Drosophila melanogaster: one gene and its partner. The protein of the gene in region 1 interacts with the protein of each later gene in a pairwise test. Each region holds a gene or a part of one and is shown in the gene's direction. Other genes may lie near its edges.

Evidence for each region. Proteins that work in one complex are often made in the same cells at the same time.
Region 2: the proteins of Apt1 (region 1) and CG8187 interact in a two-hybrid assay, tested with the Drosophila melanogaster proteins (one large-scale study listed by BioGRID).

What each region holds. Positions count from the first base shown.
Region 1 is NT_037436.4:11,625,368-11,633,131, forward strand, and holds Apt1 (Acyl-protein thioesterase 1), read left to right. Parts: upstream 1-2,669; 5' UTR 2,670-2,769; intron 2,770-2,849; exon of another isoform or gene 2,850-2,883; intron 2,884-2,975; 5' UTR 2,976-3,086; coding exon 3,087-3,134; intron 3,135-3,195; coding exon 3,196-3,227; intron 3,228-3,593; coding exon 3,594-4,137; exon of another isoform or gene 4,138-4,213; coding exon 4,214-4,231; coding exon of another isoform or gene 4,232-4,240; exon of another isoform or gene 4,241-4,625; intron 4,626-4,862; coding exon of another isoform or gene 4,863-4,886; exon of another isoform or gene 4,887-5,099; coding exon 5,100-5,156; 3' UTR 5,157-5,382; downstream 5,383-7,764. Other genes in the region: CG6083 (uncharacterized protein), read right to left, coding at 1-185, 250-392, 549-617; PCID2 (PCI domain-containing protein 2), read left to right, coding at 1,113-2,300.
Region 2 is NT_033778.4:15,537,473-15,544,218, reverse strand, and holds CG8187 (uncharacterized protein), read left to right. Parts: upstream 1-2,855; 5' UTR 2,856-2,946; coding exon 2,947-3,519; intron 3,520-3,578; coding exon 3,579-3,762; intron 3,763-3,815; coding exon 3,816-4,189; 3' UTR 4,190-4,281; coding exon of another isoform or gene 4,282-4,641; 3' UTR 4,642-4,665; downstream 4,666-6,746. Other genes in the region: eIF2Bgamma (eukaryotic translation initiation factor 2B subunit gamma), read right to left, coding at 1-463, 557-697, 753-1,261, 1,315-1,465; Vha36-1 (vacuolar H[+] ATPase 36kD subunit 1), read right to left, coding at 1,942-2,682; CG30467 (uncharacterized protein), read right to left, coding at 4,282-4,641, 4,700-5,905; CG30471 (uncharacterized protein), read right to left, coding at 6,569-6,694.

The sequences.
Region 1 (7,764 bases):
TATTGGTGTCCGGACACGTGGGATATAGGTTGTCACTGCCCGACTTGTAGGCCATGGGCCAGTGCATCAGGTAGAGGTTTAGGTACTTGACTCCCAAGTTCCTTATGCTTGTCTCACATGCCGGGCGCACCAAATCCGGCTTGTGGTGTGTGTTCCAAAGTTTGCTCGTGATGAAGAGTTCATCTCTGCAGTGCAATATGTATTTATGGCTTAGATAAACGATTGATTAGGCCTGAAAGCAGCACTTACCGTGTGACCACTCCCTCGTCCATTTTCTCCCGGAGAGCAGCTCCCACTTGCGCCTCATTGCCATAGATATGAGCGCAGTCAAAATGGCGATAGCCTATATCAATAGCATCCTTTACTGCTTGGGTCACCACTTCCGGCGGGCTCTAAAATGGCGAATAAAACGTAAAAAGCTGAGGTGCATCAAAAGCTTTTGCTTGACCCCGAAGAGCTTTGACATTGACCGTGAAATATGCAGTGGAAATGCACATTTCAGCTGGCTATTATTTAATAACAATATATATCTATGTAAAAGTACTTACCCGCCAAGTTCCGAGACCCAACATAGGCATATTTTTACCATTGCTCAAGAGAAAATTCGGTGTCGACATGTTTGAATCCTTTTGCTCCTTGTGAAATATGTTGTTGCACTGGCTTCGTTTTTGGAAAGCTTTAATTTGTAATTTACTAAGTGAACTATACTCAAAGGCCTATTAAACTGGCTAGAAACAGCATGTCTTGTGACAGCTCTGCTATCACAACTATATGTACGAAAATTGTTTAAATTTAGAATCTTTTGGGCAAGCAAAAGACCTTCGCGGAATATAATCGATTCGCTGCAGAGGGAAATTTTAAAATTTAAAACAAAAAACTCTTTTTCTGCGTTCAGAGTTTTATTTTATAAACCGAGTATAATGTAAATAAATACCTTTTTTTAATAAAATAAAATAAAATGTTAAAAAAAAAACTTTTGAAAAAATATTCTTTGTATTATCGCGTTATAAAAAACAAAGACAATCGATAGAAGTTTCCGATGAAAACATCGCATTCGCAGATAGTGCCTGACCTACCATCTCTAATTTTGCCGCCTGCGAAAAACACAAACAATGTTCGGCACCGTAAATAACTATTTATCCGGCGTTTTGCACGCCGCCCAGGATTTAGATGGCGAGTCCTTGGCCACGTATCTCTCCTTACGAGACGTGCACGTTCAGAACCACAATTTGTACATTGCCCAGCCGGAAAAGTTGGTGGATCGATTCCTGAAACCGCCACTGGACGAAGTTGTGTCCGCCCACCTGAAGGTGCTGTATCACCTGGCACAGGAGCCTCCTGGTTACATGGAAGCCTACACCCAACAGTCGGCAGCCTGCGGAGCCGTTGTGAGGCTTTTGCAGCAGCTGAAGGACGAGAATTGGTGCCTGCCACTAATGTACCGCGTGTGCCTGGATCTAAGGTACTTGGCGCAGGCCTGCGAGAAGCATTGTCAAGGATTCACACCTGGCCACGTATTGGAGAAGGCTGCCGACTGCATAATGGCCTGTTTCCGCGTTTGTGCCGCTGATGGACGAGCTTCAGAGGAGGACACCAAGCGTCTGGGCATGATGAACCTCGTAAACCAGCTATTCAAGATTTATTTTCGAATCAACAAGTTGCATCTGTGCAAGCCCCTTATCCGTGCCATCGATAATTGCATCTTCAAGGATTCTTTTCCGCTGCCGGAGCAAATTACCTACAAGTATTTTGTAGGTAGACGGGCTATGTTCGACTCCAACTACCAGGCAGCCGTACAGTATCTGTCGTATGCCTTTAGCAACTGCCCGGATCGGTTTGCCAGCAACAAGAGGCTCATCCTCATCTATTTGGTGCCAGTGAAGATGCTGCTGGGATATCTGCCCAGCAAATCCTTACTGCAGCGCTACGATCTCCTGCTGTTTCTCGATCTGGCTATGGCCATGAAGGCTGGCAATGTGAATCGCTTTGATGAGATTGTCAGGGACCAGGAGCTGGTGCTGATCAGGAGTGGTATCTATCTGCTGGTGGAGAAGCTCAAGTTCCTCGTGTATCGCAACCTGTTCAAGAAGGTGTTCGTCATCCGGAAATCGCATCAGTTGGACATGGGTGACTTCCTCTCCGCCTTGCATTTCGTTGGCTTAACCGATGTTTCTCTGGACGAGACGCACTGCATCGTGGCCAATCTCATTTACGATGGAAAGATTAAGGGGTACATCTCACATGCTCACAACAAACTGGTCGTGTCGAAGCAAAATCCATTCCCCTCAGTGTCCCTTTAGTGCATTTTGTAATTATTGTGAATTTTTAAGAGTAAAAGAATCCAATTTAATCAGTGTATTAGTTTACTGGATGGGGCATGTGAATGGAGGGCACCAACGATGAGTATAAGACCTGAAGACTTTGAATTTAAAGTACCTTCAATTCTATTTGGTTATAATTTTGTTTGGTTTTTCGAAACCTATATGTTTCAAATCAACTTATGAACTAATAATATAATTTTTGGTTATAAATATGTTTATTTTTCAACGGTTTTAAACTAATACCACTTTTTAAACTTAATCGAACTTTGGAATTGATATATATCGATTTTTGTGCTCGAACCGATGTATCGACAGCGGAATCGGTTTCGGTCACATCTCTAGGTCCACCGACTATCACTCATCTCTGAACTTTTTGGAACGCAGCTGCATGAATTGTCGTAGTTGAGCGAATTTAAACAAATTAACACAATACTTGTGGTATTACCTGGTAAATGATTAGAGCCTCATTCGCGCAAAGTGTACATAAGACAAGTGGCGAAGATTAGATCTAGTTAGCTAGTAACCATTTCTCAGCCGGCGACGTGTTGTCATTTTCGCAATCGTAAAATCAATATTACTAATTTTGCTTTGCGTTTACAACGTGACATAACTAAAACGCAAACTACAAAGTGTTTCTTTTTCACTGCATTGCAGAAATCCGCTGACACCGAAAAAAGCGACGAAAGCAGCGCCAAGTCGCCGAATCGCAGAGTACCTGGAATAGGAATAGTGCGTCCCCAGTAGAGGCTAAACTGAACAGCAGACATGGCTGCGCCGGTCATTGTCGAGGCCACGGTCAAGCAAACCGCCACGGTGAGTAGTCCGCCGTAGTCCAAATTCCGGAAGCCCTCGACTAATCACTTGTGTATTGCAGCTGATCTTCATGCACGGCCTGGGTGATACGGGGTAAGTGGGGTCATCCTCATTCAAAATAATGCTCCCAAAGACTTCATTCACAAAATATTGAAGTATGCGAAACAGAAATATTTGCACATATGAAATTAAAAGGATTTTAACGCTTCAGTTCCTATGGGAAAAAAAAACAATTTATAAGCGCTTAGGGTGTTCTAGATTCAAGTAACTGATGAGAAGCCTTCAGAGTATTCCCCAGTTAAGCTCATTATGTATATCCCATACCATTTTAAATTCGTTCTTCCTTTTAAATTATTAGAAAACTGCAAACAAAACTTACCTAAGTAAATAGAAGTTTTTTTGAGTGAAAGAGTTATGCAAAATCCTTCTTATCTCGTTAATGAATGCCTTTTCCAACAGTCATGGCTGGAGCAGTGCCCTAGCCGCCATCCGCCCACCTTTCATGAAAGTCATCTGCCCCACGGCGCCCACACAGCCCGTTTCGCTGAACGCCGGCTTCCGCATGCCGTCGTGGTTTGACCTGAAGACGCTGGACATCGGTGGGCCCGAGGACGAGCCGGGCATCCAGTCGGCGCGTGATAGTGTGCACGGTATGATCCAGAAGGAGATTAGCGCTGGGATTCCGGCCAATCGCATTGTCCTGGGCGGATTCTCGCAGGGCGGAGCCTTGGCACTGTACTCGGCACTCACGTACGATCAGCCGCTGGCCGGCGTGGTGGCCCTATCCTGTTGGCTGCCGCTGCACAAGCAGTTCCCAGGCGCCAAGGTGAACAGCGATGATGTGCCGATTTTCCAGGCGCATGGCGACTACGATCCCGTGGTGCCGTACAAATTCGGCCAGCTGAGCGCCAGCCTGCTCAAGTCGTTCATGAAGAATGTGACGTTCAAGACGTACAGTGGACTATCGCACTCGTCGTCCGACGACGAAATGGATGACGTCAAGGTGAGTGGGTCGCACGGAGCGTCATTTGGAATTCCCATGGCTGACGAAACGTTCACTCTGCTCTTCTCGATTACAGGACATCATCAGTAAATGGGTAAACTAACTTCCACTGAACCATAGCACTCTTAGAACGTACGAAAGCCCCCGACCCAGCCCGTTGCATTCCAACTATTCACGCAATATGGAGCGCAGTAAGAGAGTCACACTGAGAGTTATACGAGTAGGCTCTCTCGTAGCCCAATTATGGAAATTATCACTGAAAAATCAATTCGAAAAGCAATCAATTATTATACACACACGGTAGCTATACCTAATTAAATGCCAAAATACAAGCAATTTGCGAGGGAAATTCTCCAGCGCGAGACGTTTCAGAGTATAGAAGCAACTGACTTTGATATTTCTTCGCTGCTAATTATTTCGGTTTACTTATTTGGGACTTGTTCGTATTTAAATTGAAATTAATAAAGTTATATAATCAAAGAACAACTATAAAACCTATAGCCACAATCTGAATTGGATTACAACTCTTTCAACCAAAACCCGATTGCCAGCGATTCTGCGTTGCTATTTAGCTGGCAAACGGGCGTCATTTCAGATACTTTAAGTGACTAAATAAATCGCACTTAACATTTGTTTGTTCGTTGTAGCTAACATTAAAACCGCCAATTCTCTCGATTCCATTTTGATTTGATTTCTCGTTTCTTATTTCATTTTATTTCGCACAGCAACAGGCAAACAATCATCTGTAGAGCCGCGGCCCCACTGGCTACCAATTGAAATTCGCATTCTTCACTTGTTAAACCAATGGCAATATACGAACCGGTTGTTCAGATTAAACGACTCCCTCGGGCCCTCAAATGCACACCCTCTCAGATTCTTTATAAGCACACATATTCCACCTGCTAATCCAGTAGTCCTGCCGCACCACTCACCATCTCTCATCTCGATCTATATATTTGCAGACACAGTGGGATAGCCAGAACATGGCTAGAAAGGCGCAATGCTGCCAGTTATCGTAGTAGCAACCAGTGCTAGTTGTAGTGAAGGTTCCTTCCTCAAATCAAGCAAATCAAAGCTCCTCAGCCTAGTCAGGACGTCTCGGGCCGCACGAGAATTGTATTTTAGTAATTATTTTGTACATACACACGATGAAGTTGGTTAAGAAGTTGAAGTTGGTTCACCTGGTGAAGTGACAGGCAATCCATTTGCCGTAGCGAATGGCCAATAAAGTTATTTGAAGCTCTCAACTGCAAGGCGAACTTAATCCAGAAAAAAGGGGTCTTCGTGTCTGTTTTTTCCAGTTCTACTTTAAAATTTGCGAACGTAACTGACCTTTTTTAAAATTTTGATGGTAGTGTTGCATAACGTTGTATTATGTTCTCTTCGGTATTTTTTGTATGCCTTGGTATAATTTATTCCATTTACCCTTTTTATCGATAAATTTGGCGCGCTTTTGTGTTCAATTTAAATTCGCTATGGTTGTGATATGTTTGTAAAAGCCGTAAATTGCGTTATTTTTTGGCCTTCTAAAGTCTTGGATAAAGTAAAGTAAGAATTCATTAAAGACATCTTCATAAACGTTTTATAAAATTATATTTGGTTTGAAGAACTTATTCATTTATTGCTCCTGCGATATCTTTCTCACTGAAGTCTACGAACTAAATTGTTTTAGTTCCCTTTGTTTAAATTATTAAAAAAAAACAAAATAAATGTATTGCCTTTGTAACAATAAACAACAATTATACATTTTAGGTACTACTTATTCTCAATTCAGTTGTATGTAAGTTTAATCTTATTCATATTGATTTGTTCTTTTCTATATGGCATATGCTAATTTACTGATTCACAGACATAAGACTCAAATCCCGCTCTGTACTGCGACCATCCACTGACATTTGGGGAACCCGTTGGACTGCGACTCCAAGTGCCGACTAAGCGTCAGTTCAGTTGTTTTCACGCCGCCGTTGAGAGTGGACGCGGTTTTGCCAGCTCTTCAAAAATTTAAGTTCGCGTCGCTTTTTCCTCGGCCAATTTCAGCACATTTTTCGCGGGGAAATTTGAAACGCATTACATAAGCCAAGCCAATGTAAGAAGTGATCATAAGAAAAATCAAAACTATCTAAATCTGATGTGCATATGCCAATTAAATCAATTTTTGCGAGCAAGTCAATTTCACTGCGCTCTAGTTTGTTTTCGTCTTTGTTTTGATCGGCTCTATCCACAAAGGGGGAGCCTTTTGTATTGTGTTTGCCCAGTCGGATGTGCAACAATGGCATAAGAACTACAATAATCTATATGTTCACCCAAATAATCAACATTGCATTCTGTGGACTAGCAATTCATTTTGTGACATTTCACTAAATAGATTTCCCGACGATCGTAACTTATCTGAAAACAATGAAATTTTAAAGCTTTTTATGATTTCAGTTTGTATTGCACTTTGGAGTGCATTTAAAGATAGATTAATTAATTTTGAGCTTATCTGTTTCAAAAAAACAGTATATATATGGTGAAATAATACGAATAACATTTTTAATACATTCTTGTTGACTGACGCACATTTACAAATTTACAAGTTTTAAATCAAGACCCCGTCAAAGTTTCAGTTTTAAGTGCTCCTCATTATAATATGACTATTGTTAAATTATATTCTACATTTACCTTCGTCTACAAATGCAATTCTTAACTTGATTTATATTAAATATATATTTAAACCAAATTCGCTCTTTAAGATAAGCAAGGAATTTCATTTCATAACTAGACTAAATTTAAATACATAAATTGTTTCACAATTTACCTCCGCTTTAGTAAACTCAATATTGTTTCCCAAAAATTCCTTTTTTTAGATTCGTGCATATCTTTCTATTTTTGTTGTCACTGACCTATGACTTCAATGAGTAATTAAAAGTAAACATGTGATTAATCACTCTGCTCAAAGTACACGCGTTTCTTTGTTAATTATTCAAGTGTATGGATTGCGCTTCTACGTGACATGGTTACAATCCAATTATTATTATTATTTAAGGGGGAATTACAATGCACCATCCTTAATTGACCAATCGGCTTGTTTAATAAGCTTATTTAGGAATATCATTATACACATAAACCAAACAAAATCGTTCACCTCATAAGCCCAACAATATTTATTGCCAAAAACAATAAAATCTGACTAAGAACGTTTATTAAATTCGGTGCTTTTTGTGGTTTGCTAATGATTGTTCTTTATTTTCTACACACAATTCGAATTTTTAAGCGATTAGTTAACTGTCAGGAATTGACGAATTATTCGAATCCAATTGTTGGTTAACCCAAGACTTGTTTTAGTTAAGTTTTCGGTATGCTAAGCTCGCTGTCTGCGGTCAAAGGTCACGCCGATCCGATGTGCCTCCATATGCTGTTGCCACCTGACGTCACGGACTACAACACATAGAATAGAATTTGAATCCGACAGTCGAGTGGAAATTAGCATAAGTTGAGCTGAGCGTAGTAGATTGGCATGCATATTTAAGCTTTCAATTAGCTAATCTCGTATCAACACACTGTTTATTTCCTCGTTGCGATTCACTGTTCCTTTGGGATGCATTTCGCCCCATCTTTGTTTGTATCCCTCGGCGTTGCTCCACGGTT
Region 2 (6,746 bases), on another chromosome or scaffold:
TCAGGACGGATCCGCTCTTCACCTGTGCTCGATGGCCAATTATGCAGTTGTCGATGTTGCAGCCCTCCTCCACAATCGCATTGGACATAATTAACGAATTGGCCACAATGTTTTTGGGACTGATGATGCAGTTGGGTCCGAAAACGCTGAAGTTCAGTGAAGTCTTTTCGGACAACTTGGCATTGTCAGCCGCTATGATCTCCTTCGTTTGGGTTGATTTTACCACGGCTCCAGGAGAGATCAGTGGATGCTTTTCGCCACACAGATTGTTCCAGATGCTGGCTAACTTGCGATTGATGGCCAAGAAGCTCAAAGTGTTGTTTACCCGCACACCTATGGCATCTCTGGGCGCCTGAATGCCATAGCAACGCACAATATCGCCATGATAGGGGGATTGGGATAGAGATTGGTTAAACAGTGAAGTCTGCGTGATCTTCTGGTCCAGAATGGTGTGGCCTACATACTGAAAGTTAAAGACATAATAGGATTTTATATGATATTCAATACGGGTATACGGGTACTAAAGGTAACCTGTTAATACCAAGTAGTAACTCACATGCAAAACATGATCCTCATTCTTGGTGACCACGCCCACTTCGGATGTGGTGTCCTGCACCGTTTTAGGAGGTCGTTTTGAGTGCTGCTTCTTTATCAAATGCGGCAGAAATTCGCCCTTAAAGGTTGATATATTTTCCTTCTGCAAAGATTGAATATTAGAAAACAATTTACTATAAGGTCATATCAAAACTAACCCTTCGTAGATAATCGATAACCCATTTTTTCAGCACATAAACATGAGCATCCACCAGTCGGCTGTATACATCCAACCTTCCGCGGTTCTTGAGCAGATGTCGCTGGATGTTGAGTGTTTCCTCGCAGTCACTGGCGGCGGATACGAAAGCCAATCTCTGAGTGGCCGCATGGATGCCAATCAAATCCCTTTCCGGTTTGTGCTTGCTTTTGGGACCGGGCATAACAACGTCCGACTCAAATCCGCTGGGAAATAGGAGCATTGCAAGGGCGGCATCATGTTCCCGAAACTTGTTGATCAGCGGATATAGGCTGACATTGCTGACCAGGTCGCAGCTGACCACCAGAAAGTCCGACTTGATCTTATCGTATATGTAGCGCAGACTGTCGGCAGTTCCGAAATCCCCGTCACTAGGAATCGTGGCATAGTCCAGTCTCAGCTTTAAGGGAGTGTTTTCCAGAGCAGATTGGATCTCTAGTTTTTCTTGCTCCAGTACCACAACAATGACCTCTGAAATATTTTTCAATTAAATCCAGGTTTTTAATTCAGACTATCCGAATTACCTGTAAAGTTGTGTTGTTGCAGCAGATTTAAGGGATACCAAATCAGAGGATATGGACCCACCGGCAGCAGGCATTTGGGGGCATCCCCCAAGACCTCGGGTAGACGAGTGCCACGCCCAGCGGCAAAAACTACGGCCTGGAACTCGGTCATTGTTTCACAAAAATATAAATAATTTCGGCTAAAAAGCGTGCAAGCACAAAAAGAGCCACGCAAACAGCTGATCCAATGCAAGCGAAACACCTACGAGCGCTGTCCAACACTGCTTCCAATCAGACATATGTTTGCTGTCATGTGACTGTGCAATTGTTTTTGTTGCTTTTGCTATTGTATAAAACAAGTCAGATGACCCTTTTTGCAATGAAAATTCCCTTTTTCCACTTAATTATTACACAGAATGCACATCGTATGATACAACAAGACTTTAATGCATGATTTGCGCAGCTTACACTACACTACAAAAATGGAATACATACTTTTCTGCTTATTGGAATAGTCTACACACTTTTGCTACATAGGTACAATTAAGTTTGTGGCTTGCCCTTTGCGAATTACAATATGGAAACGGATACAGAACAGAAAATAGTTTAACAATAATATTGCTGGAATAAACACATCCAAGGTAATACTTAGAACAGCACGTCGTCATCGCCCTCATCCAGGATATTGGCCTGCTGGCGCACATCGATGCCCTGCTGCAGCAACTCCGCCTTCTTGGCGTCGGCCTTGATGCGTGCCTCGCGCTTCTTGTCCTGGATCTTCTTCAGTCGGTAGAACTCCTCACGCTCGAGCTCGTCCAGCTCCGAGATGATGTAGGCCAAAGTCCTATCGATTCGGGGGATGATCACATGCTCAATGGCGTTCACACGACGGTTGGTGATCTTGATCACCTCGTCCAGGGTGACGAATGAGGTCTGCAGCGAGGCCAGCTCCACGAGCAGTTTAACGGCGCTTTGGTAGTTCTTCTTCAGCTTGGCCAGCTGCTGACCACCACGGGCTAGACCGGCCAGTTCGTAGGTGTCGGATCCGTCCTGGTAGGACTCGAAAACGGGCAGAGTGACACCAGCCACGTTGTCCTTCTTGGTGCGGATCTTGATCTGGGCCTTGGTCACGTTTTGCAGCACCACTTGGTTGATGTCGCCAGACGTGAATTTGGCCTCCGCCAGCGAGAAGGCTGCCTCTTTCATAACATCACCCATCAGGGTCTTGGTCTCGATGATCTTGCCCAGAATCAAACGGAATCGCATCTGCAGGGCATCCGCCTTCTTCTTGAGCAGACCGTGACCTTTCTGGGCTCCAGCCAGACGGGCCTTCATCAACATCTGGGCACCACGGGACGGGAAAATCGGTAGCCTATCTTTTCCGGACATTTTGCTGTTTTTTTCGGATGGTAATTGGCTGGACTAAACAATTTTCAACTGCGTATCAAGAAAACTGCAACCGTCGCAGAACACTGAAAAACTCCAACTGGAAAATGACGGATGACAGTGTTGGCTACTGCCCGTAGCCAATCGATAACCAGTTGGTGCTGGGTAGTGCGCTTAGATACAGTACTGCAAAATACGCAGCCACAGCTGATTTTGCATTTAAAAGTAAACAAATCTAATAAATTCCATTTCTTTATTGGATTTATAATGCTTCTGCAACGCGTGTGGTTGACACATTTAAACAACCATCTACGCCAATACGCGAACAAGTCGCGAGCCCACATCAAACCAGCCATGGCCGTGAGCATGCGGATGGTCCATCAGGAGATCCTGCATTATGTAAACCCCTTTGCCAGGATCAACGTGAAGTCCGATGTTTTCCTGCGCATCCAGCCCGCGGATGTGCATCAGTATACCAGCGGGGATGTGTTTATCGCCCAACTGGTTGGCGGCCATGTCAAGAACTCGAATGTCTCTCTCGATGTGAAGGTAACCGATGAGGACAAGGTGGTCAATGTGGTGGTTAAACAACTGGCGGAGCAGCCCTCAAAGCTTGAATGCCATCTGCAAATACCTGTGCGTTCCGATGTCTCTGTGGACGCAAAAGGTAGTGTGCGAGTGGAAGGCATACAGAGTGAACTGCTGCAAGTCAAAGCAAAGGAAGGCATCCTTACCAAAAATATCAAGGCCACCCATATAAACTTGTACAGTGAAAATGGCAACATCAATTGCCAGGGCACATTGCTGGGCAAGATTACCCAAATAGAGTCACAAAATGGGGTGAGAAAAAATTTACTATCAATCTGATCTTATTATTAACCTTTATATTTCTTTTTTAGAACATTGCGATGGATAAGTTGCAAGGAGACAGCTTGAATTGTTCCACCAAAGCTGGCAGTATTGTAACCGATTGTTGTTATGTGGAAAAGTCAAAGTTTCAGACACAAACTGGGCGTCTGGAGCTCAAGAATGTCCACAAAAGCAGCGAAGTGCACGTCCATCAGTCGTCGGATCTCAATATGAGTATGCGAAACAACGAAGAATAACACCATCATGCTAAAAACTTTCAATTTCAGCTGGAGTACATGGCAATATTCAAATAACTACCAAAGGAGGAAATTTAAATGTCCAACTCTCTGAGCTAGTGGGGAGCAACAAAATCGACGCCGAGAACTTATTAGAAGAGGCTATCATACACATTTCCCAAGCCATAGAGCAGAATCTTCACATCGAGGTAACAGCCCCCGAAGTGAAATTGGAAAACGAACTGGAGCATGTAGCCCATGCTCTCAACGAGAGCAAGAACAAATTCGTGCTAAGCAATCCAAATACAAATCGACTGGAAGTAAGCAGCACAGGCGACAAGGGCGTGCGCCTGGGAAAACAGTCATGGAGCGATATGATGCGTAATAAGTTGAAGGCTACCGGCACCTTGGACGATTTACCTTAGGTAAAGACAGAGACTAACTAAGTTAAGAATATATTGTGCTGCAAGCTACAATCTCAGTCATTTTTGCTTTATCCATCATGGAGGCATGTTGTTTAGGCTTGGCCCGACTCCTTAGCCACTTTATCCTTTAAGCATTCAAGTGCCCTTGAGAAAATGGCTTCTTCCTTTCCGGCTTTGAGTGCAGACACAAACAGTTGCACCTTTTCATCGCCAATCTCTTGGAGATCCGAGTTTTCCGCTTTTATCACCATACATGCCAACAGGCGCAGCAACTTCAAGGCGTTCTCCACATACTGCTCCTTTGGAGCGTCATCCTCCTCCTCTTCGTCCTCTTCGAACTCATTGGCGTCGGGATCACTTCCCCCCGTGTAGTTGTCAATGTGCTGTTTAAGTCTATACCACAATTCCAAAAGATTTAAGAAGGCCTCCTTGTGATAGAAGTACTTCAGGCGCTGCAAAAATAAATATTTAAATAGAACGTCGAATATTAAGTATCTTTTCCAAACTTACACTCCAAATGTGCGCCAGATCCTCGAGATACTCCTCCTGGCGTTCGCCTAATGGAATGAGTTGCAGAGGCTGCTGCAAAAACTGCAGTATTCGCGCTAGACAACTGACTATACTGGGTGCATACACATCCATGGAGGCCTGCGCCTCTGGCAGTTGGACCAGAATGGTGCATATATTGAGGTAGGTTTGTATGATCTCCACATCACAGGTTATTTTTGGTCCGCACGAGTCGTAACCGACGTCGGCATCTTCATCACTGTCGTGGGCCGCTGGCACTTCTGCATCTTCGTTGTCCTCGCCAGCTTCCTCGTCGGTCAATTTTGTCTGATCATCGCGCATGAGTCGCAAAAACGCGCTATTGACCCCCTCGCAGAGTTCTGGCACTAGAAAGACCTCCGCAAAAGGCTTTAGATTCAACGTGGAGTTTGCGTTTTCCTCCTCCACCAAGGCGCAACTGGCCAGCACAGCATTTGTGGCCTTCAGTGCAGCTACTAGCAGTTCATCGCTAACGGACAGTTGCAATATCCTGCCCAGGTTCTGCGCGGAGTTCTCAAAGGCAGCAAAGCAGATGTACCAGTTCACAGCGAACTTCTCCTTGCCGCTAAGCACATGGGCCATGATGTACTGAAAGAGTCGCATCAGCTGTATCAACATGGCGGTGTCCATGCAGTATGTCATCTTGAACAGGGTTTCCAACGTGTAGCGGTCACAGGCCAATATCTCTGCGCACTCCACCTGGGCGCACATATTGCCCAGCAGTCCGATAAGAATCTCGTAGAGCCGCACATCTTCACAGCCCGCCACCAGGGTGTACATGATCGGATCAATGGCTCCGTTCTCCAGCAGCAGTGTGACCACTTCGGGGGACACCGACATGTCCCACACTTTGCACAGGTCATCCTCCAGCTGCTGATCCAGTGTTGAATGCCGCAGTAATTCTCCCACCCTCATCACCGTTTTCAGGATGAATCGACTGCTGTACATGGTGTTGCCGACTGCATCGCCGCGCATACGCTCCAGCAGCTCCGCCTCCTCGGCGTCTTCCTGGGCGGGTGGGGGCGTGGTCGAGGCGCTACTGGCGCTGGCAGAGGCGGAGGCGTATGCGTCGCTTTCCTTGTGATTCGAGTTTTCCGCGGATGGCACATCGTTTTGCTTGGCGGCCACCGCAAGACCACTCGCCGATGGCTCCGCTTCTTCCTTGGGCATTTCGATCTGGATCCGGGTCTGGGCAAACTGTTTAACGGGTTCGTTTGGCAGAATGCAGAATGGCAGTGGTACTAATCAATATATTTTGGACAAGATCTTTTTTTTTAGACGCTGTCAGTGGGTCCGTTGGTTCTTTCATAAAAAATACCTTAAGCTTTGGAAAAGTCAGTTCGGAAAAGCTCGGTATCTAAATCACTTTTACATAAGCAGGTCACACTTTCTCGCACTTCGGTGGGTTGATCGTTTAAATATATTGCTCAAATGTGTGATACTTCTGAACTGGGAAAGTTAGTCAGCTGGTTAACAATATCAGTTTACAACTTAAAACAACCAAAACTACCTTTAACTTCTTTGAAAGCAACCAAAAGTGTGGATTTCATTAGTTAGTGAAGGTGCAAACCTAATCATCACCACACGTTGTGGAATCCAATGGAATCCACAAGGAAATTTAAAACATTGGCGCCTACACTTATTAAATATCGTATTATTAGTATGTTTGTTACTAAATTCAAAAATTCCAACAGCAACGTTGCTATAATATTATTCTTTTAATATTATATCTAAATTCGAAAATTCCAATAAAAGATAACATTATTTTATAACCATAACTTTCTATTAATAAATGACTTAGATGTAATGCTAACAATGAAAGGTAATCACAGTTTATGAGGTTTTTGGTTTTCCCTTGAGCAGCAAACTAGACAGATTGCTGTAGGGCAGCTCAAAAGCCAGCGAAAAGGCGATGGAGGCCAGATAAACGATCATCGTAAACCCGCAGCAGATGACGCTCTAAAGAAACAACTCAATATTATTAAAAAGCAAAATCAAATGAGAATGCAAC